Oryctolagus cuniculus: one gene and its partners. The protein of the gene in region 3 purifies or fractionates together with the protein of the main gene of each other region. This does not show direct contact. Links are inferred from orthologs where the notes say so. Each region holds a gene or a part of one and is shown on either strand. Other genes may lie near its edges. The genes, in order: NOPCHAP1, NOP58, RUVBL1, WDCP, EPC2, tubulin alpha-1A chain and SHQ1.

Region 1 (3,500 bases), on a different chromosome or scaffold from region 3:
TCCTCCAGCTCTGCGGAATCAGAGACCGGCTGGAAATTCTCAGGTCTCTTTCCTGGGTAGAAGTCAGGCCCACGGCAGCTGAGATCTCAACTTTAATAAGATCAGTCGGGAGGAAGACAGACCGTGCTGGCCCAGGACCACTGTGACTGCTGGGGGGGGAAGCAGCAGCTGCCTTTCCCTGTACTGTGCCTTCTGCCCTCCCTGTGGGGTCTCTATTTTCTCTATCAAGAGCTGCCACACTGTGGGCAACTGGGTGGAACAGTTTTAATAGCTGAGCCAAAGAGCTTTATTTTATGGAAAGCAAACACAGAAAGCTACTTTTCCCCACCAGTAAACTCTCCGAGCATTGTGTCGCCCGCTGTGATGACACCACAGAGAGTCAGTTTTCCTGCTCAAACAAGAAAGGAATGTTTTTTTGAAAGGAAGATAGATATGTCTGAGGATGGCTAAATATAAGTCATTCTTTTATTTGTGAAAACATTTTTCCTCTTAAAAAAACTTCTCATTAAACTCATTTTGATAGTGACAAATAAATTAGACTTTATAATAACCTTAAAAAAACTAGGTTCTTTTATCCAAAAGGATAATTTCAAACAAAAACAAACTGGTGATTTGTTTTTTTACCTTAAAATAACTTTGGTATTTCTGAACTCCATGCTGAAGAACAAAGAGGCCAACAGATGCACTTGTCAGCACACACAGTTAAGCTTTCTAAACACAGTGTCTCTTTAGCACAGGATCAACAATCAGCTTACCACTGGAAGAAACCCAAATGCTATTATATTTCAACTCTTGCAGAGTCAGCTTTGAGTTCTCTGAGAAGCAAAATATACTTGGTATTACGTGTGTGACATCAAATACGCAGCAGGCCATCAGCCTGAGGCCGCCCCGTTCTTTGAGACCCTATGTGACACACCACAACTACTTCAGCACCTACACCTACTTCAGAACTACATTCTTCTAAGAGCTGGGTTTCAGACAAACAGCTGAGCTCTGGCCAATCACAGGCAGCCAACTGATGACATCATAACCAAATAAGGCAAGAACCTTGGGCTAACCAATCACGTTACGCCTGCACTTCACTTCCCTGGGCCGCGGGCCACGCTGCAGAAAGGAGTTCTCTGCCCACGAACTGTTCTTGGCGCAAACTCTGTCCACATGAATAAAACGCACAAGCACTGTAGATACCTGGAATCCCAACCAGCCGGCGACCCACGTTCTCGTTCACAGATGTCGCAGGCTTCTATCACCTGTGTCTTTTCCCATCATTTATTTCATTATTTCTTTTTTTTACTTGCTGGACTGTCCAAAACTTCAATCTTGCCTTTTCCACCTTCCGAATTAGGAAGCTTAATGTTATCTTCAGTGACTTCACGAGGCCCGCTGTCACCCTCGTCCTCGGAGGAGGAACTCTCCCCGGAACTGTCTCCCGAACTCGCTTCTGAACGGTCCTCTTCCTTCGAATCCAACGGATTCATCTCAAACAAGGCCACATCCTGCAAAAAGTGCCAGGAGAGAAGCCGTGTCAGGGAAGTTCCCTAAAAAGCTGTCACAAAACAACACTGGGAGAATCAACATTCAGCATAAATATTAATGTGTGAGGAGCAAGATGCTTTTTTTTTCCTAGCATTTGTTTATTTATTTGAAAGTCAAGGTTAGAGAAAGAAGGAGAAACAGAGAAAGATCTTCCATCCGCTGCTTTATTCCCCAGATGGCCACAACGAACAGGGCTGGGCCAGGCCCAAGTCAGGAGCTTCACCCAGGTCTCCTACATGGATGGTGGAAGCCCAAACATGTAGGCTGTTTTCTGCTACTTTTCCCTGGCCATTAGCAAGGAGCTGGATTGGAAATGGAGCAGCCAGGACACAAACTAGTGCCCATACAGGATGCCAATGTCCAAGGGAAGGCTTAACCTGCCATGCCACAATGCTGGCCCCAACACACTATTTTTAGAAATTTAATTGAAAGGCAAAGTGACAGAGGGAGATAAACCTTCCATCTGCTGATTCACTCCCGAAATGGCCTCAACAGCTGCGGCTGAGTCAGGCTGAAGCTGGGAGCCAGACACTCCATCTGGGTGTCTAGTGTGAGCGGCGGGGACTCAAATACCTGGGCCATCACTGGGTGCTTCCCAGGAGCAGACACAGGAAGCGGGGCCAGAAGTGGCACCCTGATATGGGATGCCAGCGTCAGAGCGGCCGCAGAACCCACTGCGCCACAATGCTGGCTCCAGGGCCAGGAAGGTTTTTAATTCAACGCCTCGATTCCGTGCTTTTCCTGCCAGGGTCTGTGACAACTAGCACTCACTGCAAGTCTAAAAACCAGTCTCCCACAGCATGACTTGATATCTCCTGAACACATTCAAATATTCAACAACATTCATCCAACCAATGCGAATGGGAGTCAGGCACCACGCTAAGTGCTCAGGACTCAACAACAAAATTAAAACAGGTCCCTTCCTGTCGTGAAATATGTTTCTGGACAAGGACCAGCAAATTCCAACCTGCAGGCCAAATTCCGCCCCCTGCCTGCTTTTGTTCAGGTCCTAAGCTAACAATGGCTTTTATTTTTAAGTGGGGGAGAGGGGGATAGGAATACTATTTTGTGAAACATGAAAGCTCATCAAATTCAAATTTCAAACTCCCCAAGCTGTGCGTATTCACTCATGTAGCATGGACGGCTGCACGCACGTCTCAGCAGCAGGGCTGAGTAGCCACAACAGAGACAGCCCACACCCGACCTCGCACACCAAATGTCTGCTGGCCCCTGATCTGCAGGAGAGAGACAGACAAGGAGCAAATACATCATGAGGGTACTTCAAAAGTTTGTGGAAAATAGAATTAAAAGAGAAGTTTATTTTGGTGCAAAAAAATGAAATCCATGCATAGTTTTTATTTTATTTTTTTTATTTTTTATTTATTTATTTATTTATTTATTTTTATTTATTTATTTTTTTTGACAGGCAGAGTGGACAGTGAGAGAGAGAGACAGAGAGAAAGGTCTTCCTTTGCCGTTGGTTCACCCTCCAATGGCCGCCCCGGCCGGCGCACTGAGGCCGGCGCACCGCGCTGATCCGATGGCAGGAGCCAGGAGCCAGGAGCCAGGTGCTTTTCCTGGTCTCCCATGGAGTGCAGGGCCCAAGCAGCTGGGCCATCCTCCACTGCACTCCCTGGCCACAGCAGAGAGCTGGCCTGGAAGAGGGGCAACCGGGACAGAATCCAGCGCCCCGACCGGGACTAGAACCCGGTGTGCCGGCGCCGCTAGGCGGAGGATTAGCCTAGTGAGCCGCGGCGCCGGCCATAGTTTTTTTTATAATATGCATTTTCCATTAACTTTTTGAAGACCCTGTGTACGTATGGATTTCAAAAAAGTTTACACCCAAATAGGGGCAGGGGTTGTGACACAGGAGGTTAAGCTGCTGCTTTTAACATTGCATCCGTATCAGAGCACTGGTTCAAGTCCCAGTTCCTCTGTTTTCAATCCAGTTTCCTGCTAATGCA
Region 2 (3,500 bases), on a different chromosome or scaffold from region 3:
AATAGGAAGAAGTGCCGGCGCCACGGCTCACTTGGCTAATCCTCCGCCTTCCGTGACAGCACCCCGGATTCTAGTCCCGGTTGGGGCGCCGGATTCTGTCACGGTCGCTCCTCTTCTAGTCCAGCTCTCTGCTGTGGCCTGGGAGTGCAGTGGAGGATGGTCCAAGTGCTTGGGCCTTGCACCCCAATGGTAGACCAGGAGGAAGCACCTGGCTCTTGGCTTCGGATCGGTGCAGCGCGCCGGCCGTAGCAGCCATTTGGGGGTGAACCAACGGAAGGAAGACCTTTCTCTCTCTCTCACTCACTAACTCTGCTTGCCAAATAAATAAATAAATAAATAGGAAGAAGTATTATGCCAAGATCAGAAAGTATACATCCTGGGACTGGTGCTGTGGCATAGCGGGAAAAGCCACTGCTTGCAGTGCCTGCATCCCATACGGGCGCTGGTTCAAGTCCCGACTGTTCCACTTCCAATCCAGCTCTCTGCTATGGCCTGGGAAAACAGTAGATGATGGTCCAAGTCCTTGGACCCCATACCTCTTGGGAAACCAGGAAGAAGCTCCTGGCTCATGGCTTCAGATCAGCCCAGCTCTGGCCATTGAGGTCATCTGGGGAGTGAACCAGCAGATGGAAGACCTCTCTGTCTCTGCCTCTCTGTAACTCTGCCTTTCATATAAGTAAATAAATCTTTTTCAAAAAATGAAAGTATACATCCTATCACAACTTGGCATGTATGAATATACCCTACCACATTTATGTCCATCTTGGACATCATCTTCCTCATAAGACTTAATTAGTCCTTGTACCATTTTTAGTCCAATGCTATTACATTTATTGGACCAAAACAAACTGACTGTATTTTCTAGTGATTCTCACCTGTGGGCCAATCCAAGACACATAGCTGCCATTTCACGTGGCTCTACCCCAGGGATTAATCCATCCATCTGTGAGCGGATTCCTCTCATAAGCTCATTAACAACAGGGCTGTGAATACAGCTGAGATGCAACTTTTCCTAGAGGAAGAAGAACAAATGTCTTTAAGAAAGCTTTACTGAATCTATTTCTCAAATATTAAACATGAATTTCTCAGTCTGACAAGTGTAGCCTCTAATGGGTTTGTGTAAAAAACCTTCTACACATTTATGGTAGAAGTCAATTATGATATAAGCTTCCTGAAAGACAGCTTGAGTGTATGAACCAAAAGCTATAAAAGATAAAAGCAACTTGATTTAATAGTTTCGTCCTTGTTTGTTGGTTTGAGGGCATCTTTTACTACTTTACGTTAAGTACAGCATTTTAATAAAAAATACAAGGCGGCAGGTTGTTGTGGTGCAATGGTTCAAGCTTCCACCTGGGATGCCCACATCTCATATTGGTGTGTTGGTTCCAGTCTCAGCTCTTTCACTTCCAATCTAACTTCCTAATAATGCATACTGGCTGGCAGCAGAAAATGGCTTACGGTCTGAGACCCTATCAACCAAATGGAAGACTTGCATGGAGTTCCAGATTCCTGACTTCCAATTGGCTCAGCCCTGGCTGTGTAGGCATCTGGAGAGTGAACCAGCAGGTGGAAGATGAATCTCTTTCCCTCCATCTTTCAAGTAGATGCAAATAAATATTTAATAAAATAGATACTTTAAATATTACATATTTAAAAGGAAATACTATTCAGAGGGTACTAAATGAGAAAGTTCTGAATCTTAGCCTCTTTCTCTACAGACAAATATAGAATCTCTTAAATATTTCCAGATACACGTATGGTAATATATACATAAATCTACAAGTCTTATTTTTTAAAAAAGATTTATTTATTTGAAAGGCAGAGTTACAGAGAGGGAGAGGCAGAGAATTTTCCCTTCTGCTGATTCATTCCCCAAATGACCACCAACAGCCAGGGCTGAGCCAGGTGGAAGCCAGGAGTTTGGAATTCTGTCCAGGTCTCCCAAAGCGGTCCAGAAGTCCAAGTATCTGGCCCATCTAACTTCCACTGCCTTCCCAAGCACACCAGCAGGGAGCTGAATTAGAAGTGAAGCAACTGGGGCTGGCGCTGTGGCACAGTGGGTTAACGCCACGGCCTGAAGAGCCAGCATCCCATATGGGCACCAGTTCTAGTCCCGGCTGCTCCACTTCCAATCCAGCTCTCTGCTATGACCTGGGATAGCAGCAGAAGATGGCTCAAGTCCTTGGGTCCCTTGCACCCGTGTAGGAGACCCGGAAGAAGCTCCTGGCTCCGGATCGGCACAGCTCCAGCCATTGCGGCTATCTGGGGAGTGAACCAGCGGATGGAAGACCTCTCTTTCTCTCTGTCTCTACCTCTCTCTGTAACTCTTTCAAATAAATAAAATAAATCTTAAAAAAAAAAAAAAAAAAAAAAGAGTGGAGCAACTAGGACACAAAGTGATGCCCATATGAGATGCTGGTGTGGTGGGCAGCAGTGTAACCCACTGGACAACACCAGCCCCGTATACAAGTCTTTAAAATCTACAGAGTTCTATTTCACTGTATGTATACAATCATATGTATAAAAAAAACTATATACTGCACTCTGCTTAAGAATAAAATAAAGAATAATAAATAAGAATAAAATAATAAATATTTCAGAAAAATTTGTTACACAAATGATAAACAGCATAAGGCAATTTTTTAAAAGATTTTATTTACTTATTTAAGAGGAAGAGTTACAGATAGCGAGGGAGAGACAGAGAAAGGTCTTCCATTCACTGGTTCACTCCCCAAGTGCCTGCAATGGCCAGAGATGAGCCAATCCGAAGGCAGGAACCAGGAGTTTCTTGCAGGTCTCCCACGCAGGTGCAGGGGCCCAAGGACTTGGGCAATCTTCTACTGCTTTCCCAGGCCATAGCAGAGAGCTGGATTGGAAGAGCAGTAGCCAGGACTAGAACTGGTGCCCATATGAGAGCCAGAGAATTAACTTAATGGTCACAGTACCAGCCCCCAGCATAAGGTTTTAAAAGAGAAACTCAAATGAAAAAACTTTAAAAAACACCCATAATGCGACCAATTGGCAAAATGACTTTGTGTCTGATTTATACTACATGTGCACACAGCCACTCAAGCAGTAGATTACCACACTATCTTCTTTTTCTTTTGAGCATAATACATATATATATCAATTTGGAATTAATGTTTTATGGCCTTAGGATATGAAAGTCTGCTTTCTTCCTAAATGCTAAAATGTATGGGTTTTAACAGAAACACATGGCACTTCTCATGGCACTCATGGACACTTCAAAGGATGTAGAGACTTATCACAGAAAATCTTATTGTTTGACAGTGTTAGAAATAATAAACTTGGGGCCAGCGCTGTGATGCAATGGATTAAGTTGCCTATGAAGCCAGCACCCAATATGAGCGCTGGTCAAGCCTCAACTCCACTTTCAAACCAGCTTTCTACTAATGCACTGGGAAAGCAGCAGAAGATGGCTCAAATACTTGGGCCCCTACCACCTACATGGAAGACCCTGATGAAACTCCTGTTTGGCC
Region 3 (4,094 bases):
AAATTCTATCTATATGTCCTTATGCACATTTTTTCCAAGAGGCAGATTAATAGCTCTCATCAGATTCCCAACTAACCCACTAAAGGTTCAGCATCAATGATACTGGGGCCAGTGCCGAGGTGCAGCAGATTAAAGCCCCGGCCTGCAGTGCTGGCATCTCATATAGGTACCAGTTTGAGTCCCAGCTGCTCGACTTCTGGTCCTGCTCCCTGCTAATGTGCCTCGGAAAACAGCAGAAGATGGCTCAAGTCCTTGGGCCCCTGCACCCACGTGGAAGACCCGGAACAAGTTCCTGGCTCCTGGCTTTGGATCAGCTCAGCCCTGGCCGTTGTGGCCATTTGGGGAGTGAACCAGTGGATGGAAGATCTCTTTTACCTCTCTCTGTAACTCTTTCAAATAAATACAATAAATCTTATAAAACAAAAACAATCCCTGATACCAGCACCTAGATGGCCATCAGTGAACTGTGCAAAGCCAACACTGGACGTGAGGGTAAATCTGTGGCACCACTAGATCCACCGATGCCTTCTGAATCCCCAAGATTAAAGTATTCAATTCCCTGTCAGTGTATTCTACACACACACACACACACACACACAAATGGGTTACCAGTCCTCAGACACTGTAGAATATTTGACACAAAGGTGTAAGGATGAGAAAGTCACAGTACTGAGGACCCACATCCCAGGATCACATAATATAAGCTTTGTTCCCTTGAATTAATAACTGATACAAAACCTAAAAGGTACCTTCTCCTTGCCTGAAGGAAGGCAGTGGTCATACTGTTCCCTACTGACAAGATCTTGTGAACGCGTTTGCTCTCTCTATTCCTTGTGGACTGTGAAGTACCTCAGTCACACACTATAGCAGCCCCTAAAACGTGTGTGCAAGGACTGTGTGTGCACGTGCTAGATTCACTGCTGCTTCAATGAGCAGAGTGCCCGTTACAGAGCCTATTAGGTATTCTTCAGATGCTATATTGCTAAAAAGGATGGAGACTTGCTGTGGTCTCCCATATAGTCTTCATATGATCCTCAGCACTGGAGCTCCTGGGAAACTCAAAATAAGGCGGAGACGGCTTTCCAAACTTTGCACTTGTAACTCTCTTACAGACAGAACCTCTTCCATGTATTCTCCTTCAGTTTACCCTCCAGCTTCCCTGCAGTGAGACACACGGTGAACCCTGACATCGAAAAAGAACCGAACAGGCCTTAGAGTCCATGTTGGCTCTCAGACGAGCACACTGAGCGCCAGAGAGGCTGCCGACACCACCAGCCCCATACAAGAACCTGGCAGCAAAGGTGGGCCTGAGAAACACAGCATCAGAGTTCGGAGCGTGGATTCTGCAGCCACACAGACCTGAGTTTAACTCCTGGCTCTACCGCCCACCAGCACGGGGACCTTAGCCCACATAACCTCATCGGCCCTAAAGGGTTTAGGGGTGAGCTGTATGGATGTTTGCCATCTACTCTGAAATGTCAAAGTGGACTGGCAGCTGGATAGATGAATAGATGCGTGACAAAGCAATGGCAAAAATATTAATTGTAGATTTTTGGGCAGATATCTACTGAACGAGCCAACATTTCCTACGTTGAGGAATACAGTACTAGAGTGGGGGAGCAAAATTATTAGACTGCAAGTGAATAACAAGACAGTGGGAACACAGCTGCTTAGCATGGTGCTTGGCCCAATCCATGCTAGCTGCTTGCAGTAACAGGTGCTTTGTTGAGTCAGGGTCAGACGTTTCCCTACTGGAAAGATGATGCTCAAAACAGAAACCAGGGGCTTGTCTTTGGCCCTTTCCATGAGCAGCATCGGGCTGAGAGGCATGTCTTCACTTCATATAAAGTGCAGGGTTTTGTAGCTGTCTAGCCTCTAGGGCAGGGCTCTTAGCCTGGAGCGCAGGGGGCTGAGAAAGGGCGGCAGAAACACATGGACGTGCGAATGCCAGCTTTACCCTTTAAACTACAGTGGCAAGTGGACTAGCGGCCTCTCCCATCCTTATTTTTTTGCCGGTAAAACAATATTGTAGGGGAATGGACTTGGCATCCCTGTCACTTTAATAAAATCAGGACCGGAGCGACCAAGAAAGATGCTTGCAGGAGTGGGTCAATCAGATCACTCCTCTCACAGCTCCCGGGCCTGGGAACCAGAGCGAGCTTTCAAACTCCTACAGTTTCCCTGCCATGCCGACAAAACCCTGCACAGAGGACCCCTACCAGGACACAGTCATTTTATCGGCCCACACGTTTATCCTCTCAGCTCACCGCACGGAAATGTAAGCGCCGGGAAAGCAGGGACCTTTTCTATCCTGTTCCCCGCCGCATCCCGGCGTCGCCAGCCGAGGCCTGGCACGCAGCCGGGAGCGCCATCAACACCTGTCGGTGAACTGGCACAAACCGCCCCCTGCTCCCCGCGGCCCGTCGCCTTTCTCCCACCCCCACCCTGCCCTGCGGAAATGCGGGGCAGACCCCCGGCCCCCGCTTCAGCGGCTGTGGCGCCGCAGCGGCCCTGCCGGAGCCCCCAGCTCCCCGGTCCGCCCGCCACACCTCTCGCGCGTTCTCCTGGCCCACGAGCCCTGAGGCCGCCTGCTTGGCCAAGCCGCTCTCGTCCAGCCCCAGCCCCTTCACGTGGCTGTGGGAGGCGATGCGCTGCGTCTTCGTGGTGCTCTTCACCTCCTCAATTTTCATTTTTGCAGGCGACGGGAGCCAAAACCAACGTGGAAAATCAGGACCTACAGCTGCGCGCCTGGCGCCCGGGTAACCATGCGGCTGTTACCACGGCGGTTTGCAAGGGCCCGCCCAGGTCCTTGCTCTATTGGCGGAAGCGGAAACGCCTCCGTTCCCCATTGGTTTAAGGCCGCGTCCATCGCGATTGCCGGTGGAACCCCGCCCATTTACTTCCGGCTGTGTCACTGGGTTGAATTTCCCCCGAGCCGCCACTTCCTGCCCCGGCCGGTGGCGGGAAGGCAGAAAGGTAAGTCACGGTGCGAGTTTGGAGGTGGTGCTTCAAATCTGGATTTTAATCGTTCCATCTAATCTATTATCATACTTAAACGTCACGCCTTTCCGCGGAGCTCAGGTTATGGCCTCAGTTTGGACATGCAGGAACTGAGGCGAGCTTAAGCTTTGACTTTGGGTTGGTTACTCCGAAGTTTTCCAACTCCCAAGCGTTTGCACGTGCCTGCGAAGGTCCCGCTCAGCCAGCCATTCCCAACGCTGCTCCGCTCAGAATCCTCCGTGGAACTGGCTTCTCTGCTTCTCTCCTCCACCCTCCTCCTCTGCTTAAGTTGCCTGCGAATAGCGTTGCACAGCCCTGTAAGGTGGTATAATGCCTAACGCAGATAAAAAGGCTCATGAAAAAAGGTCCAGTGACCTGCGCTGGAACACACAGCGATGAGCAGAACGGGAAACCCCAGAGGAGACTGAGCCCGTGTAACCCTCAGCCCATCCCAGCACCTCAGAAAAGACCATCACTCTCCTGTCGGCTTCATAATGGATTCAGCACCACTGGGATGGAAGCTTCTGACGTTCTTCAGAGCCCCGAGGGACGGGGGCCAGGTCTTGGAAGGCTAAAGTTGTTAGTGGTAGTGTGTGATTAATCAGCCCTAAAGACACCCCCTCAGGACACCCAGAGATGCTCAGCGTATCATTGACAGGCCTGGTCGTAAGTGTTGCATAAAGAACTGTTCCTTTCAGGGTGTGGAAGGAAGGCTTTCCACCAACGAATATCAAAGTGAGGTGCTCTGTAGCAACAACCTGTGTGTGTTGTCCAGTGAGGAGGAAAGACCGGTTTTACATTTATTATTTTAAGCCCTCAAACTCTTCTCTCTTTTGGCACTGAGCAAAGAGAAGGATTTCCTGGCAGCCAAAAGAAGGGGAGGATGCAGAGGTTTTTAGGGCTCAGAGGAAGCTCCTGGACCACTTGGTCCAGTGGCTTTCAAAGTATACTCCCTGGAGTTATAGAATCGTTTTGTGGCCAGAATGGGTAGTGAAGGGGAAGGCTGAGAATTTAGGACACTACCTCCATTATACCCCAGCACCCACTCCTTGTTCCACCAGAGCTGCTTTGGTTTTTTATGCTATTGACCTGGT
Region 4 (3,500 bases), on a different chromosome or scaffold from region 3:
TTTGGACAGGCAGAGTGGACAGTGAGAGAGAGAGACAGAGAGAAAGGTCTTCCTTTTGCCATTGGTTCACCCTCCAGTGGCCGCCGTGGCCGGCGCATAGCACTGATCCAAAGCCAGGAGCCAGGTGCTTCTCCTGGTCTCCCATGCGGGTGCAGGGCCCAAGGACCTGGGCCATCCTCCACTGCACTCCCAGGCCATAGCACAGAGCTGGACTGAAAGAGGGGCAACCAGGACAGAATCCAGCACCCCGACTAGGACTAGAACCCAGTGTGCCGGTGCCACAGGTGGAGGATTAGCCTAGTGAGCCGCAGCACCGGCCAAGTATACTCTTATAACAGATAACATGGAACAAAAACTACTGCTTCTGGGGTATTTAACACAGCACTTAGGCAGCCCATACTGAAGTGCCTGGCTTGGCTCCCAATTTTCCAGCTTACTGCTAAATGTACCCTACAAGGCAGGCTCAGGTAACTGGGTCCCCACCACCCCTGGGGAGACACTGATGAAGTTACTGGACCCTGACTTCCACCTGGCCCAATCCTGGCCACTGTGGAGTGAACCAGAGAACCAAAATTTTCTCTCTGCTTTTCAAGTAAAAATAAGCTTTTTAAAAAATATTGCTTCTAATTATATATTATTTGAAACAGTATCTTCACATAAGCATTTAGGTGAGTCTTATAATTTATTTACATGTGTAACTTATTTTGTTGTTAAAATAGGATTTCAAAGATATACAATTTGTAGCAAGATGAAATGCTTTAAGAATGTCTATTAATACTTCTAAAAAGTTTTATTAATTGGGGCGAGTATTGTGGGTAGGTTAGGCCACCACCTGAGATATTTGCATCCCACATTGGATCACGTCTCACCTCCACTCTGCCCAGATTCCTGCTAATGCACAGATAATGACCCAAGTACATGGGCCCCTAACACCCACACGGGAGACCAGGACAGACTTCCTGACTCCTGGGTTCACCTGGCTCAGCCCCTGCTATTGCAGGCATTTAGGGAGTGAACCAACAGGTGGAAGATCCTTCTCTGTTTCTGCCTCTCCCTGTGTCATTCTTTCAAACAAAGAATATTTGAAGTAATTTCTTTATTTATTTGGAAGGCATAGGAGGAGGGAGAGACACTTTAATCTGCCTGTTTGGCTGGCAGCACCCTGAGGCAGTTACCTGGTATAGCACGTGAACATACGGGGGCTCCTGGGAGCGAGGGTACACAGCCGAGGGCTTCTTCCCGTTCTGGACAAAGTCTGTGAGCTCAGAAAGACTGCGCTGCATTTCCGTCAGCTTCCTGGACAGCGATTCCAATTCCTTACACAGCTGCTCAGTCCCCTTTTCCCGTTCCAAGTTCTTTTTTGAAGGCACTTCAGGAGTTTCCGGCGTGCTGGTGCCATCTGGGGCTCTGCTGGGTCGCGGCTCTGTCGCCCAGGCCCAGGCAGGCCTATGGAGCATTTCCAGGGCTACGGAGCCATCCCCAGTACTGGACAGAGGGCTTCTGATTTCTTTAATAAGAGCTTTTCGAGGCCCTCCACTCCGACTGCTGGTATTCCCTGTTAACAAGAGCCCTCCACGCTGGGGACAAACATTTGGGGAAGGACTTTCAATGACCAGTTTCCTATCTGCTTTCTCTAACAGAGCGCTGAAGGTAGAACAGGCGCTCCGGCTTTCAGTCGACGTCGCTGAAGACGGCTCTCCCACCGTGACTTCCCTCACAGTCAAGCGAATGGCGTACTGTGCAGACTCTGAAGAAGGCAAGAAGGCCACATCGGTGCAGCTCGGCTTTCCTACCAAAATCAGTAACAACCTGTCTGTCAAGAAGCACAGGCCTTTTGGTCTTTCGCTGCTCTCCAACTGAATGTGCTGAACGTTCCGCATTGAAGAGGACACGACAGAATAGACCAAAACTGTGTTCCCAGTATTGGAAGCCACTGCCACCGCCTGTGCTTTGGGATGGCATGCTATCAGATCAGGAACCAGAATGCCCGGAACGCGGACCCTTCCCGTCAAGGTAACTGTCTTCTCGAAGGCCACGAGGGCCATATGTGAAGAATCCTGGCCAGTTCCTGTCCAGGAGGCCTTTTTTCTGAGACAAATCAGAGAACTCCCCTCAGACCTGGGTCTACTGAAAGAAATATGAGTGAGATCTAGCAGATCTGTGGAGGGGGACACTGGTGATGTTTCAGAATCGGTTTCAGAAGCAAGTGCCCCCTTATCCACAGAGGGTACGTCATCAGCAACTAGAAAAGTATCCAGGCCAGGGTTTGCACCACTAAGTGGGGCCTCAAAGGTTTCAGATGCATTTAAGCTGCAAATCTTATCTAGCGGAAGCTCAGTGGCTACTGCAACCTGTGAATCCACAGTGGCTGTGATGCAGCGGACTGAGCTGTCCACGTCAAATACTGGGGACAAGGAACACCTGTGCAGAGTCTTCTGGGCACTGTCCCAGATAAAAGAATGCAGGCAGCTGCCCACTGCCACCACCAGCCTCTGGCCATCCTGGGTCCAACAAGCACAGTGAATGCGGCCCGGGGTGCTGATGTTCACACTCACCCGGGAACTGTCCCACTGAACGTTAGGGAACACGGAGACATCCCGTGCAGTCAACACAGCCAGGACAGCGCCGTTCGGGTGCCACACACAGCCCTGGGGCAGAACGGGCAGTGACTGTCTAATCTCACACGTCTGAGACATCAGCCCCTTGCTCTTCTCTGTTGTGCTGGGCCCCAGCTGCCACACAGAGACATGCTTCTTGTGCTGGACAGCCAGCAGACTGGGCGCATCAGCTGCACCACACGGGGCCCAGCACAGCCCACAGACATGCTCAAATTGTCCAATGACTTTGGAGTCCCCGACCTTGACCTCCCCACTGTGAAGGCAGCAGTCAGTCAGGACCACCTGATTCCCATCAGTCCAGGCAAGGCCGTGAGTGGGGTGAATGGCTTGATGGAGTGCATTCAGTCCAGTCCTGAGCAGTTTTCCTTTTCCCAGCTCCACCATTTCTGATAAACACGATCTGAAATAATTAAGAAGGAAAGTAACCCCATGAAAAGACACATTATAGTATATTTTATAAGACAATTGACTTGAGGCTTTTCACAGGTTGATATCGTGGGAGATAAAGGGACAGGAGGAATGTCACAAATTAAAAGATTACGGGGTGGGCAGGTATCCTAACAGTTAGGAAGCCTACGTCCCAAGTTGGGGTACCTGGGTTCAGTTCCCGGTTCTAACTCCTGATTCCTGCTCAGGAAGGCAGCAGTGATGGCTCAGTGATTAGGTTCCTGCCACCCATGTGAGGACCTGGATTTTCCTGGCTCCTGTGTTTGGCATAGGCCAGCCTCAGCAGCCATTTCAGGAGTGAACCAGGGGATGGAAGATCTTTCTCACTCTCTCTCTGTTTCTCCCTCTCTCTATTACTCTGCCTTTCAAATAAATAAAATAAATCTAAAAAAAAAAAAAAAGTAGTACATGTCCATTTCAATGAAATGCAAGCAC
Region 5 (3,500 bases), on a different chromosome or scaffold from region 3:
TTTAATTTGTAGAGTGAATACACCTTCCTTGAAGATCCTGAGTCCAGCACCATGAAAACTTCAGTGACTGTGACGTGTACAGTCATGGGTTGTTGGCATAGTAACAGACAGCTTTATACAGAATAAAGGAAGACTGGACATTAAACTTAGCTGTGTTAGCTTTTTCTTGGATAACCAGTCTAAAGCATTTTCAGCCTACTTCACAAGGTTTTTACTCTGATAAAAATGATTAGCCATCTCTGATTTCATTTTACCTGTAGTAGCAAGCCTATCACACATTTTTGAACATTTATTTTATTTATTTGAAAGGCAGAGTGACAGGTAGAAACAAGGAGAAAAAGATTTTTCATCTGCTGGTTCACTCCCCATATGGCTATGATGGTTGAGGCTGTGTAGGCTGAAACCAGAAGCCAGAAACTTCATCCAGTTCTCCCACATGGGTGGAAGGAGCCCAGTTACTCGAGCCATCTTCTGCTGCTTTTCCAGGCACATTAGCAGGGAGCTGGATCAGAAGTGGAACAGCTGGGACTCTATCCAGTGCTCATATGGAATGTCTGCATCACAGGTGGCAGTCTAATGCACTGTACCACAGTACTGGTCCCAAGAAGTGCTTTTAAAAGTGCTTGAGAATAAGCCATTGTTGTGACATAGTGGGTGAGCTGCCACCTGCAGCTCTGGCATCTTATATCTGAGTGCCAGTTTAAATCCAGGATACTGTGCTTCTGATCCAGCTCCTTGCTAAAGTACCTGGGAAAGCAGCAGAAGATGGCCTGAATACTTGTGCCCCTGCCATCCATTTGAGAGACTTGGATGGAGATCCACGTTCTTGGCTTTGGCCTGATCCAGCCCCATCTGTTGTGGCCATTTAGGGAATGAACCAAGAGGTAGAAGATCTGGCTCCCTTTATCTCAGTAACTCTGTCTTCCAAATAAAATCTTTAGGGAAAAAAAAACACTCATTGACATTTATTGGAAAAATTAATAAACCATGAAGGGTTTCAGTTTTTTGATCCCCTAATTCTTAGAAATAATTCTTGCCAGTTTTTAGCTACTTCCTGCTCCATATGCCAAAAATAAGTATTTTTGTAGACTGTAAGTTTTACAGTCTAAACACGTGTACCAGTTAAAGATTAGGCTCTTGGGCTTGCCTCATTCCTTAATATGCTTATGAAATTGCATCTAAAAAAATGAGAATTTAACTTTGTCCATTTTATAGGGCTCAAGCACCTCTGACTGTATGTCTAAAACACTTGACTCAGCCAGCGCCCACTTTGCTGCATCTGCAGTGGTCAGTGCACCTGTTCCAAGTCGCAGTGAGGTGGTCAAGGAACAGAACCCTGGCCACAACAACATAAATGGTGTTGTCCAGCCTTCAGGTATGGCTGCAGTTTTCATGTGTACTAACTCACTTGAAGTTGTAACTCACTGAGTTGTGGTATGGTCTTTGCTCTTTTATATCCTTGGGAAAAATATATCTAAGAAGTAGTCAGTATGCTTCAGAATTTCTTTGGAAAGATAAAGGAGAATGGCTGGGTGTTCTATAGAGTTCATGTGGAACCTGTTCCCTGTTTCTTCTGTGTACATTGAATATCTACCTGTAGAGCATCTTTAACTGTCAGTTACCTCACATCTTAGGAAATCCTTCAGGCTGGTTACTGTTGAATCATCCAAGCATTGATTAAAAAGGTGATATTTAATCCAGGACAGTCTATAATAAGTTTGAAATTTGGTTTACTTTCCCACCCTTACATATTCACATGCATACTTTTGACTCCTTCTATTAAGATCCCGTATTGCTGTCAGCCTCTGTCTGCTTCTTAGATCTCCTGAGTCCTCAATGACTTGCTGTCCCATCATAACTTCAGCTGCCTCTCAGAATCTAGGATTTTCCAGTTGCTTTGATAGGTACCCATGATCCTGAATTTCTTTTCTTACCAGTGTCTATGCATATGTAAATTCTTAAGGAAATTCAGCTGTCATTTTCATCTGTTGTATTATAAGGTCCTCCAAAGTGTAGGCATGGAGGCAGCAAAACCTCTTTGGTAAGCAAACAGAAAGAGGATGGTTTGGGGGTTGTCACAGGTGAATGCATTATACTTAATGGTCACAAACTCTTTGGAGAAACCTGTTTGTAGAAAGTTAACTTGGTATTTAATTATAATATAAATGTTGACAATAACATATATGTAACTCCTAATTTTCCAAAGTTGTATAACTGCCCATTACACTAATTTTTTTTCTCTTTCAGGAACGTCTAAAACATTGTATTCCACCAATATGGCTTTATCATCTAGCCCAGGGATTTCAGCTGTACAACTTGTAAGGACAGTTGGTCACACCACAACAAACCACTTAATCCCAGCGTTGTGCACAAGCAGTCCTCAAACACTTCCCATGAACAATTCCTGCCTGACAAATGCAGTGCACCTCAATAATGTCAGTGTTGTTTCTCCAGTCAATGTGCATATCAATACACGGACTTCAGCACCCTCGCCAACAGCCTTAAAACTCGCCACAGTGGCTGCCAGTATGGACAGAGTGCCAAAGGTTACTCCTAGCAGCGCCATCAGCAGCATAACAAGGTGTGTGTTCATGTGTGTGTGAGTGTGAGAGGTATCATTTTCTCAGGTTGTATGCTGACTTTCCTGTAGGAGGAAGACCTTTTTTACTGCTCAAGTAATAGAGTCTGTTGACAGACTTGCTTTGCAGATGTTAAGGATATTCTTAAATGCCAGCTAGAATCCTTAAAAAAAAAAAATGGCAAATACATCAGAGTATGTTTTAGAAGCTCCAGTTACTCTTCTGTTATTTTTTTTTTTTTTTGGCAGTTTATGCAGTCTGGAAAACTAGATTTGGTATTATTCCATGCTAGAGTTTAGATTTTAAATCAAAATTTATGTGTTCTTCAGCATTACATACAAACAGAAAGAAAATTATTCTAGTAACATATTAAAATTGAGAATATCCCAGAATTAGCTAAATCTATAACAATGAACTTTATAAAGTGTTTTTATATTTCTTTCTGTAACTATTGAAAGGTGAACAGTGAATCACGAACAAGACTAAACTCCACTGAAAATTAATTTAAGTAATATTGTGATCCTAATGATTATTCTCTTTGAGTATTATATGCTCCATCTATTGTAAAACTCTTGGCTTGTCCTATGTGCTAATAGTTAATAAATAATTTATTATTGGATTCACCTGAGATACTATGTTAAATTATAACCTTCCCTGAGTAAATAGTGATAATCAAGTAAGTAATTAGGAATTAGTGGATTTTCTAAGCTGAGGAAAGACTCCTCATTCCTTTCTAGAAAAATGAGAAATGTTCTTCAGAAGTCATGTTTATTTATAGTTACATAAAAATGTTTCTGTAAATATTAAGTGGTAACATCACATTGTAGAGACTATTAATGTTTATTTCACTCTTTGCCTTGTTATAGAGAGAACCATGAACCAGAAAGATTGGGTTTAAATGGAATAGCAGAGACAACAGTA
Region 6 (4,061 bases), on a different chromosome or scaffold from region 3:
CTGGGCTCCACAGGGCGCTGTAGTAATGCAGCCCCCGAAAATCAGTTGCTGGAAATTGAAAGGAAAAACAGAAATTTCTATTTTTGATAGTCAAACAAATCTCTTTACCTCTGAAATGTCATCCACAATGGCAAGAGGTGCACAGCCCGGAGACCTATTTTGCATAGCCCATCCTTGATGAGAATGGAGCCGTTCCGAGCAGCAAACCATTTCCTAGGGGGGAAAGCAAAGCCTTTTTTGTCCCCAAGAGGCCTCTGGGCAGCCACCAGTCTCCAGCTGAATAGCAGCGGTGTGAGGCCGGCTAAGGTTCCCACAGTTAGGAGGGTGTGGACCCCATTCTTATAAGCACTATATAAAAATGGACTGCGGTTGAACTGAGACTGCAGAGTTGCCTGCAGATGGAGGCAACAATACAAAGTGGTCCTCTTTTTGCATCCTACATCTTTCTTGTCTTCTTTTTAATTTAGTGTTTTGGTTACTCTTTTTTGTTTGTAACTTTCCCAAAAGGCGAGCAATGCAGAAATATAATTGCACACACAAGGGATACCGGTTTCTGCAGTCAATTCTTTCTCCTTGTGTTTTCCCAATTCTGTATTGGGAACGATGATTCATTTCTACATCTCACAAAATATATTACAGAGTCTTTTGGCAAATGAGTATCTCTCATCAGCTAACCCTCATGTGTCCATTAGCTCTCACCGACTGCAATGCTAGAACCTTTTGTGTTCTTTTATGCGGTATGGCTATGCCTCCCATCACCCATTTTGTTGAGCTATTTGGGTGTCTGTGCCCAAAAGAAGATATGAAAATACATTAATTGAACCTGCAGAGCCTTTTTTTTTTTTTTTTGGATGACTGTATTACCGGGTCCTTTTCTAATTAAAATAAGAGAGAAAGGGAAAGCATATTTACTCAAACCATTTTGAGTATCGCTCCCGTCTTTCCCACTTTATTTTTAAAGCAATTCGAGATGCTGGTTCGTAACCAAATGTAGCTTAGTGTACTGTCAGGGGGCGATTCTTCACGAAGATTCCATCTCAACACAAATGCTACGATTGAAACCGTACCTAGGTGATTTTAGCTGCAGGTTGAGACTGAAGCGATAGAAAATGATCTAGCCGCAGTCCTCTTTCTTCCCTTCCGCCCCTCCCGAGAGCCCCACCCCGTAATGGATGCTGGGCTGCCGGCTTTGGCTCGGTCTCTTTGTCTGAAGGATGCAGTCTATGGATACTGGGGGAAAACGGGTGGGGGAGCGATTACCTCATCCCATGTCGCCTGCACCAATCAGCACTCTTCTGCCGCGGCTTCTCCGGGCAGAGAGAGGGGTCTGGACCAACAGGAAGAGGCCCCGGCCCATCCCCATGGCGACCGGGCTGTATATAGGCGGCCGCCACCGCCCGAGCCGCAGGTTCTCTTACATCGACCGCCTAAGAGTCGCGCTGTAAGAAGCAGCAGCCTCCCTCTCGGCCTCCGCGCGCAGCAGCAACCATGGTAAGCGCCGGCCCCCCAGGCGGCCCGGGGAGCCCTTTGTAGCCTTTTTTGTCCAGGGTGGCTTTGTTTGCTTTCGGTCCCTACGCCCTGCCGCTGCCGCAGTGCGGAGCCAGGGCCCGGCCGGGACGAACAAAGGCGACGCCAGGGAGTGTTTGTCGCCGAGGACTCCCCGGGGCCGCAGCTGCCCCTCCGGCGGGGCGGGAGGGTCCGCAGCCGGGCGGGGCGTGCGCTCCGCGCTCGTGGGGCTCCCCGGGGACCTGCAGCCCGGGGGCGCTGGGTGTAGCTGGGCGCGGAGAGGAGGACGGGAACCGAGGGAAGCCTCGGGTTGGCGCAAGACCCTTGCGTTCTAGAGAGACAGCCGTCTACTAGCGGCTGGGGCCGGGGCGGCGCAGGGGCGGGGTTGTTTGTTTCTGGCTTCCCCGGTGTTGGAGCCGCCGGACCGGGTTCGCCCTCGCTCAGCCTCCGCGGTCACGGGGAAGCCTTGAATAAAAGCCTTGCATCACCGCGGAACTGAAGACTTCAAAAGGGTTTTCATTACCTGCTAAAGCTCAGATGAAAAAAAATTGTTTTCTCGAGGCCCAGAATCCCAATTCACAAGCCCTTTAAAGTCTGGTCCAGCGTGGCCACGCCCTTGAGGGCTGCGGGGCCGGGCTGTGGGGGGGCGCAGGGTCCGCCCTGGGTGCCTGCTGGGCTGCGGTCGGGAACGCCTGCCCCGCCCCCGCCCCAGGGAGCAGACAATGAAAATTGCAGCCCTAAAAGTGACAATCTCTGTGGGATGAGGAGTAAGAATTTTATGTGGTGGGTAAAGAATTTCAGAAAGAAAACACTTTTTTGTTGCTTTAAATACATATTTCACTGTCCTTTCACTGGGCTTTTGTTCTTTGCTAGCTTCTCATATAACATTTCTTCCTAACTCGCAAACTGTTGTTTCAAAAATACTAACAATTTTTCAGTTTTTTACAGTGGAGGCGATTCTGTAAAAACTTAAAGTAACACAATTGCTGCAGACAAAGAATTACATTCTGCTCTCCAGCCGTCTTTTGTTCTAGGGTGTCTTCATTAATTCATTTCGATTCAGGAGCATGGTCCCAGGCTGGGTCAGGGGAAGAACTAGCAAAACAGCACAATGAGATCATATAGGCAGTTGCTGGAAATAGAGCTTGCTCTGTTAAATAATGTAGCAGACAGTACAGGCTAGCGCCAGGCACAGCAAATAACGGCAGTGCAGCAATGCAGAGGCAGACTTTTGTCTAGCTTCTAATAACTCCTAGTATTGATGGATCCTGCAGGCAGACTGCAGAAGGGTGTGGCTTGCAGCTGCAGTACAGATGCCTCTTGGAATCCTAAGTCCTCTGCAGAAGAAACTAATCTCCAGTTAAAGGGGGAAAAAAGCAGTAAAATGAATTCCAATCCATGATTGGATTGAATTTAATTTACTTCATTTTACAAAATCTGTGCTTTGAAGCCATAAAAAAATCTTCCATTCAAGCATGGCTCTGTGAACAATGGGCTTGCACCATGTGCTAAACTGTGCCAAGGCGACATTATTATTCAGACCACACCCATCTGCAGTATTTGTAGCAGGTGCTTTTCTTTCATCGTTTCTATCATATTAGGGATAAAACTGCAAATAAATTTGAGGAAGATCTAATTACTAGAAATACTTTTAGAAATTTGCTGAAAATTCAAAATGCTAATACAAAATAATTTATATATATTTTTCTCTTTCCCTCACACAGCGTGAGTGCATCTCCATCCACGTCGGCCAGGCTGGTGTCCAGATCGGCAATGCCTGCTGGGAGCTCTACTGCCTGGAACACGGCATCCAGCCCGATGGCCAGATGCCAAGTGACAAGACCATTGGGGGAGGAGACGACTCCTTCAACACCTTCTTCAGTGAGACGGGCGCTGGCAAGCACGTGCCCAGGGCCGTGTTTGTAGACCTGGAGCCTACGGTCATTGGTGAGTTGGCCTCCGTGGCCTCAGTGAGAGCCCCGGGTGCTGGGACAGGTCTGGGACAATTCTGTGAGGGGGGAGCCACTGGCACCCCGGGGCCCTGCAGGCTGTCAGTGACAGGTGGCTGGTCTGCTTCCCTCTTCCAGATGAAGTTCGCACCGGCACCTACCGCCAGCTCTTCCACCCCGAGCAGCTCATCACAGGCAAGGAAGATGCTGCCAATAACTATGCCCGCGGGCACTACACCATTGGCAAGGAGATCATTGACCTCGTCCTGGACCGAATTCGCAAGCTGGTATGTTTCCTCTCAACAATAAAGTACATTAGTAAGTTAAGGGATGCTGTTTGGTTGAAACAGAATTGAAATTGAAAAAAGGTTTTTAAAAATTCAATTAAAACATGAACTATCTGATATCATTTTGTAAATACTGAGAATTTTTAAATGAAGAAATGTTGAGTAATTCCAAGGTCTTCGCTTTTTAAAAAGCATTTGTTAAAGTAAGATCTAAATTCTTAGAGATGTACGAAAAGTGAGACTATTTACTATGATTGTATCACAGACAACAAAGACTTAATCTTTTCTATTCCTCTCTTTTAAACAGGCTGACCAGTGC
Region 7 (4,138 bases), about 34 Mb from region 3:
AGGGGATACGTAATGCCTGCTGCACAGAGCTGTTGGCTGGGGAAATGAGGTCGTTATGTAAGGCTCGTGGCAGTGCTGGCACATAGTAACTACTCAGTTAGTATTATCTCCTGTTCATATTTTTTTCCTGAGTCTTAAGTGTCAAGATGATTTCCTTAGAATTAAGAGAGATAGAGAGAGAGAGAGAGAGAGAGAGAGAGAGAGAGAGAGAGGTTGAAAAGGCTTTTGAAGTTATCTGGTTACCATCACTGTCCTGGGAGATGACTTTCATCCCTTTCCCACTGATATTTAAAACCAGGGAATAAATAATCCCACTGATATTTAAAACCAGGGAATAAATAATCCTAGTTGGCCCATGCTGGTGACTGATGGGATAACAGGAAATGAAATGAGAGGACAGCAAGCCCAACGGAGGACGTAGAGAGAGAGACTGGTGGGAGAGCAAGAGGAGCACAGGCTAAATGGAGAAAATAGATGGAAGAGTAGTAGGAAAACAGGAGAAAAAAAAGAAAACCAGAAAAGATGACCTCAGATGAGTGTCAGGAGGAAAGCCAGGGAAAGGAAGGGGTTGGGGGATGCAGAGGAATCGCATTAATCAGCGCGGGCCAGCGTTCCGGGTTCTGATCCTAGTGAGATGCGTGCTGACCAGAGGACGCAGTGTAACCTCTCTGAACCCGGTTTTCTCTGGAGTTTGTAGTGCAGCTGAGACGAGATTAGTGCATGGACGCTCTGTGAAAGAGAAAGCGCTATTGCAAGAAGGGGAGGAAAGGAGGGAACTGGAAAATAGGAAGGAGGAGGGAAAGGGGGGAGGGAGGAAGGGACGGTGAGAGCGAGAGAGGAAAGAAATCGTCGACGGGCGGGTGGGAAGCGATGGAGACAAAGCGGATGCGCCCAGGCGCCCAGGCGATCGCTCTACCAGGGCAGCTTGCCAGGCACGCAATCTCTGCGTGATATCCCCGCAGCGTCTCTACGGGGCCAAGACCATCTCTAGATGCTTCAGGTGTAGCATTATTCTCACTGTAGCATAAGGAGGTGTTGTAACTTGGCCGAGCAAGTTACATCTGGGAAGTGGCTGAGATGGGATTCAAGCGCGCACCTGTCTCCTTGCCCAGCCAGCGCTGTTAAAATCATCTCTAAGAAGCTGGATAGCGGTTTGGCGGGTCTAAGACGGATTCTGGCGTTTCTTCCAAGTCTTCCTTCGAGGAAGCTCCAGCGCCCAGGCACCACTCGCCACGCCTCTGGCTCTTCCCGGCTGCTTTGAAAGCTCCACCTCGCCACTACAAGCGTCCCGTCTCCATGGAGATCGACGTGGGGCGGAACTTCCCGCTTCACGCACGCGCACTTCCGCCTTGTGCCGGAAGCACCGTGGCTAACGGAAGGGATCTCCGAGTGTGGGGACTTCTTGGAGAGTTTTGTGCCGCGGGACTGCGGCGGCCGTAGGCGGATGCGATGCTGACCCCCGCGTTCGATCTCAGCCAGGACGCTGACTTCCTGACCGTCGCCATCCGCGTGCCGTACGTCCGAGTCTCCGAGTTCGACGTCTACTTTGAGGGGGTGGACTTCAAGTTCTACGCCAAGCCGTACTTTCTCAGGTGAGTTCCGGGGGTCAACGTGGGACGAGCGTATTGGGGGCATTCGTGAGCTAAGCGCCTGTGGAGAGGGGTGAGAGAGCAGGGAAGCAGTTCCCGGAATCTTTCCCCGAGACTTGCCCGTCTCCTTTTGGGGCCAAGGAAGTGACCTGCTGGAGGTGTGCGCTCCAGGTGCTTAGAAGCCCGTTCCCTTCTCCAGCCTTGTTGATCCCCCCGTGAGCGCAATCTCGAAAGCCCTTTGCAGCGTGGCCTTTGGGCCGGGGACGTTTCCAGCTTCTGTGAAGTTGCCCTCCCAGACTTGCTCTGCCCCCTCCTTGCGCTTCGCCTTCGCTCTCCCCCTTCCCCGGCGGCGCGCGCGTGCTCGCTCGCATCTTTTCGATGACTTCCCAACCTTTTGGTCCTTTTGTTTTCTCCCAGCCCGCCTTCTGTGTACCGACCTTTATCTTGGCTGCCCGCTCCCTGCTTTCTCAAATTCTCACCTTAGCCGGCTCTGAGTCCGCGCTAGCCTCGTTCTCCTGCCTCCCCCGCTGCCCGCCTCCGCAGTCCTGCGTTTTGCCGGTTCGTTGCGGTAATTTCCTTCGGGTCTCTTTGAGCAGCCCTCAGCTTGTGTCACTTTAGATTTCTCTTCTCGCAGCGCCGTAACGACAGCGGCAGCAGCTCGAGCTGATGCCGTTCCGTGTGGTGGGCAAGCAGTGCCTTCGCTTGTGTTAACGTTGACAGCGATCCTTGGGGGTGGACACTGTGGTTCTCCCCATTCTGTAACGGACGCTGCCAGAGGCTCTAAAATGCTACAGCGTGGCGATCCCCTGGGCTCCCCTTTTCTTTTTCCAGTCTTAAGTGTGGCTCCCCTGTGCCTTCCCTGCCTAAGTACTTCTGTATTTTGTAACACAAACCTCCCTCTCCAGGCGAACTAGTTTCTTCACTGCCTAAACCAGTTCTGCTCAAGTTTCCGTTAGATCTCGATTTAATCTCTGTGCCACTGGACGCCTGAACTGTGGAGAGTACCAGACTCTATATAGTTTTTTTTCCTGTACATACAGATCCATGGTAAAGTTTAATTGGTAAGTTAGGCATGGTCAGAGATTAACAAGAAACAACCAATAATGAAATACAGCACTGTGCTTTCTGATTTCTTTATTCATGTAGTTTATTTATTGGGCTTCCGTGCTGGGATTATAGTGCTGAACAAGATGAACTCCTTCCCTCCTGTAGTGTTTTTTTTTTTTCTTTTTTTACAGGTAGAGTTATAGACGTTGAGAGAGAGAGAGAGAGAGAGAGGTCTTCCTTCCTTTGGTTCACTCCCCAAATGGCTGCTATGGCCGGCGCTGTGCCGATCTGAAACCAGGAGCCAGGTGCCCCTTCCTGGTCTCCCACGCAGGTGCAAGGGTCCAAGCACTTGGGCCGTCCTCCACTGCCCTCCCGGGCCACAGCAGAGAGCTGGACTGGAAGAGGAGCAACCAGGACTAGAACCCGGCACCCACATGGGATGCTGGTGCTGCTGGCAGAGGATTAACCTACTGCGCCATCCCCCCCCACCCCCAGGTTAAACGTTTACATTGCAGTTGGGGATGGGAGAGAAAAAGGGTGGACAAATGATGCTTCTACAAATCGTGAGTGCTATGAAGGGAAGGAACTGTGCTCACGAGGCATCAAAAGAGGCCCAGGTTTATTTAAAGTGGTCGGAGAAAGTCTCCCTGAGGGTGGCAAGACGAAGAACAGGAAGATGGTGGTGGTGCTAGTAGCACGCATTTACTGAAGTGTTACTGTAGGTTAAGTGTTCCATGTGGGTTAGCGCATTTGATTTAGGAGAGCCCCACAGAGCAGGTTTTATTGCTCACCCATTGCTGTGGACTGCATAGTTGTGTCCCTCCAACATTGAAAGGTAGAAGCCCCTATTCCCAATATGATGGTATTTCAGTTTAGATGAATGAAGGCAAGAGTCCCCATTGATGGGGTTAGTGCCCTTGTAAGAAGAGGGAGAGTCCAGGGCCCCTGTCCACCAGGTCAGGATACAGCAAGGAGGTGGTCAGCTGCAAGCCAGGAGGGGTGCCCTCCCCAGGCACTGAACAGGTTGGCAACTTGATCTTCAACTTTCCAGGCTCCAGAAGCATTGAGAAGTCAATTTCAGTTGTTTAAGCCACCCAGCCTGTGGTGTTTCTGTTAGAGCAGCCCAAAGTGACTAAGACTCCTTTGTCACAAAGGAGAGGTCAGAGGCCCAGTTGTTCTTAAGTGTAGACCTTGTTGTCATATACACTAATAAAAATATAAAACGCAATAGGATTGGGAAATAAGCCAATCAGCCCAGTCAAGTAAAAGTGTTAAAGTGAAAACCCCTTTGAAGCCTGTGAGATGATAAGGGCAGAATAAGAGGATACAAGCAAAACAGTGGAAAAGCTTTCTTCCCGCAGATCTGTCCACGCTTCAGGTAGTTGAAGCTTGGGAGTGAGCACTCAGCATGCGTACAGTTCTGTGGCCTCACACAGGTTTCTGGTTGAGTCTGGTAGTCTGTAGCGGGGGACCCATATTAATGATCTTAAGGAGTTGTGTGA

What was found.
Region 1: the proteins of RUVBL1 (region 3) and NOPCHAP1 purify together in Homo sapiens (affinity purification with mass spectrometry; 4 studies listed by BioGRID and IntAct, counting the BioPlex papers as one, with this or other methods). This does not show direct contact. The link is inferred for Oryctolagus cuniculus from reciprocal best matches to the Homo sapiens genes RUVBL1 and NOPCHAP1.
Region 2: the proteins of RUVBL1 (region 3) and NOP58 purify together in Homo sapiens (affinity purification with mass spectrometry; 4 studies listed by BioGRID and IntAct, with this or other methods). This does not show direct contact. The link is inferred for Oryctolagus cuniculus from reciprocal best matches to the Homo sapiens genes RUVBL1 and NOP58.
Region 4: the proteins of RUVBL1 (region 3) and WDCP purify together in Homo sapiens (affinity purification with mass spectrometry; 6 studies listed by BioGRID and IntAct, counting the BioPlex papers as one, with this or other methods). This does not show direct contact. The link is inferred for Oryctolagus cuniculus from reciprocal best matches to the Homo sapiens genes RUVBL1 and WDCP.
Region 5: the proteins of RUVBL1 (region 3) and EPC2 purify together in Homo sapiens (co-immunoprecipitation; 3 studies listed by BioGRID and IntAct, counting the BioPlex papers as one, with this or other methods). This does not show direct contact. The link is inferred for Oryctolagus cuniculus from reciprocal best matches to the Homo sapiens genes RUVBL1 and EPC2.
Region 6: the proteins of RUVBL1 (region 3) and tubulin alpha-1A chain purify together in Homo sapiens (affinity purification with western blotting; 3 studies listed by BioGRID and IntAct, with this or other methods). This does not show direct contact. The link is inferred for Oryctolagus cuniculus from reciprocal best matches to the Homo sapiens genes RUVBL1 and TUBA1A.
Region 7: the proteins of RUVBL1 (region 3) and SHQ1 purify together in Homo sapiens (affinity purification with mass spectrometry; 3 studies listed by BioGRID and IntAct, counting the BioPlex papers as one, with this or other methods). This does not show direct contact. The link is inferred for Oryctolagus cuniculus from reciprocal best matches to the Homo sapiens genes RUVBL1 and SHQ1.

The regions. Positions count from the first base shown.
Region 1 is NC_091442.1:107,702,428-107,705,927, reverse strand, and holds part of NOPCHAP1 (NOP protein chaperone 1), read right to left. Parts: intron 1,497-3,500; coding exon 1,278-1,496; 3' UTR 1-1,277. UniProt on the Homo sapiens protein: Client-loading PAQosome/R2TP complex cofactor that selects NOP58 to promote box C/D small nucleolar ribonucleoprotein (snoRNP) assembly. Acts as a bridge between NOP58 and the R2TP complex via RUVBL1:RUVBL2.
Region 2 is NC_091434.1:37,693,962-37,697,461, forward strand, and holds part of NOP58 (nucleolar protein 58), read right to left. Parts: intron 1,013-3,500; coding exon 876-1,012; intron 1-875. UniProt on the Homo sapiens protein: Required for the biogenesis of box C/D snoRNAs such as U3, U8 and U14 snoRNAs. Part of the small subunit (SSU) processome, first precursor of the small eukaryotic ribosomal subunit.
Region 3 is NC_091441.1:110,808,894-110,812,987, forward strand, and holds the start of RUVBL1 (ruvB-like 1), read right to left. Parts: upstream 2,801-4,094; 5' UTR 2,691-2,800; coding exon 2,550-2,690; intron 1-2,549. UniProt on the Homo sapiens protein: Possesses single-stranded DNA-stimulated ATPase and ATP-dependent DNA helicase (3' to 5') activity; hexamerization is thought to be critical for ATP hydrolysis and adjacent subunits in the ring-like structure contribute to the ATPase activity.
Region 4 is NC_091433.1:178,527,917-178,531,416, reverse strand, and holds part of WDCP (WD repeat and coiled-coil-containing protein), read right to left. Parts: intron 3,019-3,500; coding exon 1,176-3,018; intron 1-1,175.
Region 5 is NC_091434.1:93,440,765-93,444,264, reverse strand, and holds part of EPC2 (enhancer of polycomb homolog 2), read left to right. Parts: intron 1-1,215; coding exon 1,216-1,375; intron 1,376-2,247; coding exon 2,248-2,581; intron 2,582-3,445; coding exon 3,446-3,500. UniProt on the Homo sapiens protein: May play a role in transcription or DNA repair.
Region 6 is NC_091442.1:52,629,035-52,633,095, reverse strand, and holds the start of tubulin alpha-1A chain, read left to right. Parts: upstream 1-1,261; 5' UTR 1,262-1,488; coding exon 1,489-1,491; intron 1,492-2,029; exon of another isoform or gene 2,030-2,136; intron 2,137-3,230; coding exon 3,231-3,453; intron 3,454-3,593; coding exon 3,594-3,742; intron 3,743-4,049; coding exon 4,050-4,061. UniProt on the Homo sapiens protein: Tubulin is the major constituent of microtubules, a cylinder consisting of laterally associated linear protofilaments composed of alpha- and beta-tubulin heterodimers.
Region 7 is NC_091441.1:76,401,989-76,406,126, forward strand, and holds the start of SHQ1 (protein SHQ1 homolog), read left to right. Parts: upstream 1-1,338; 5' UTR 1,339-1,449; coding exon 1,450-1,592; exon of another isoform or gene 1,593-1,650; intron 1,651-2,068; exon of another isoform or gene 2,069-2,583; intron 2,584-4,138. UniProt on the Homo sapiens protein: Required for the quantitative accumulation of H/ACA ribonucleoproteins (RNPs), including telomerase, probably through the stabilization of DKC1, from the time of its synthesis until its association with NOP10, NHP2, and NAF1 at the nascent H/ACA RNA.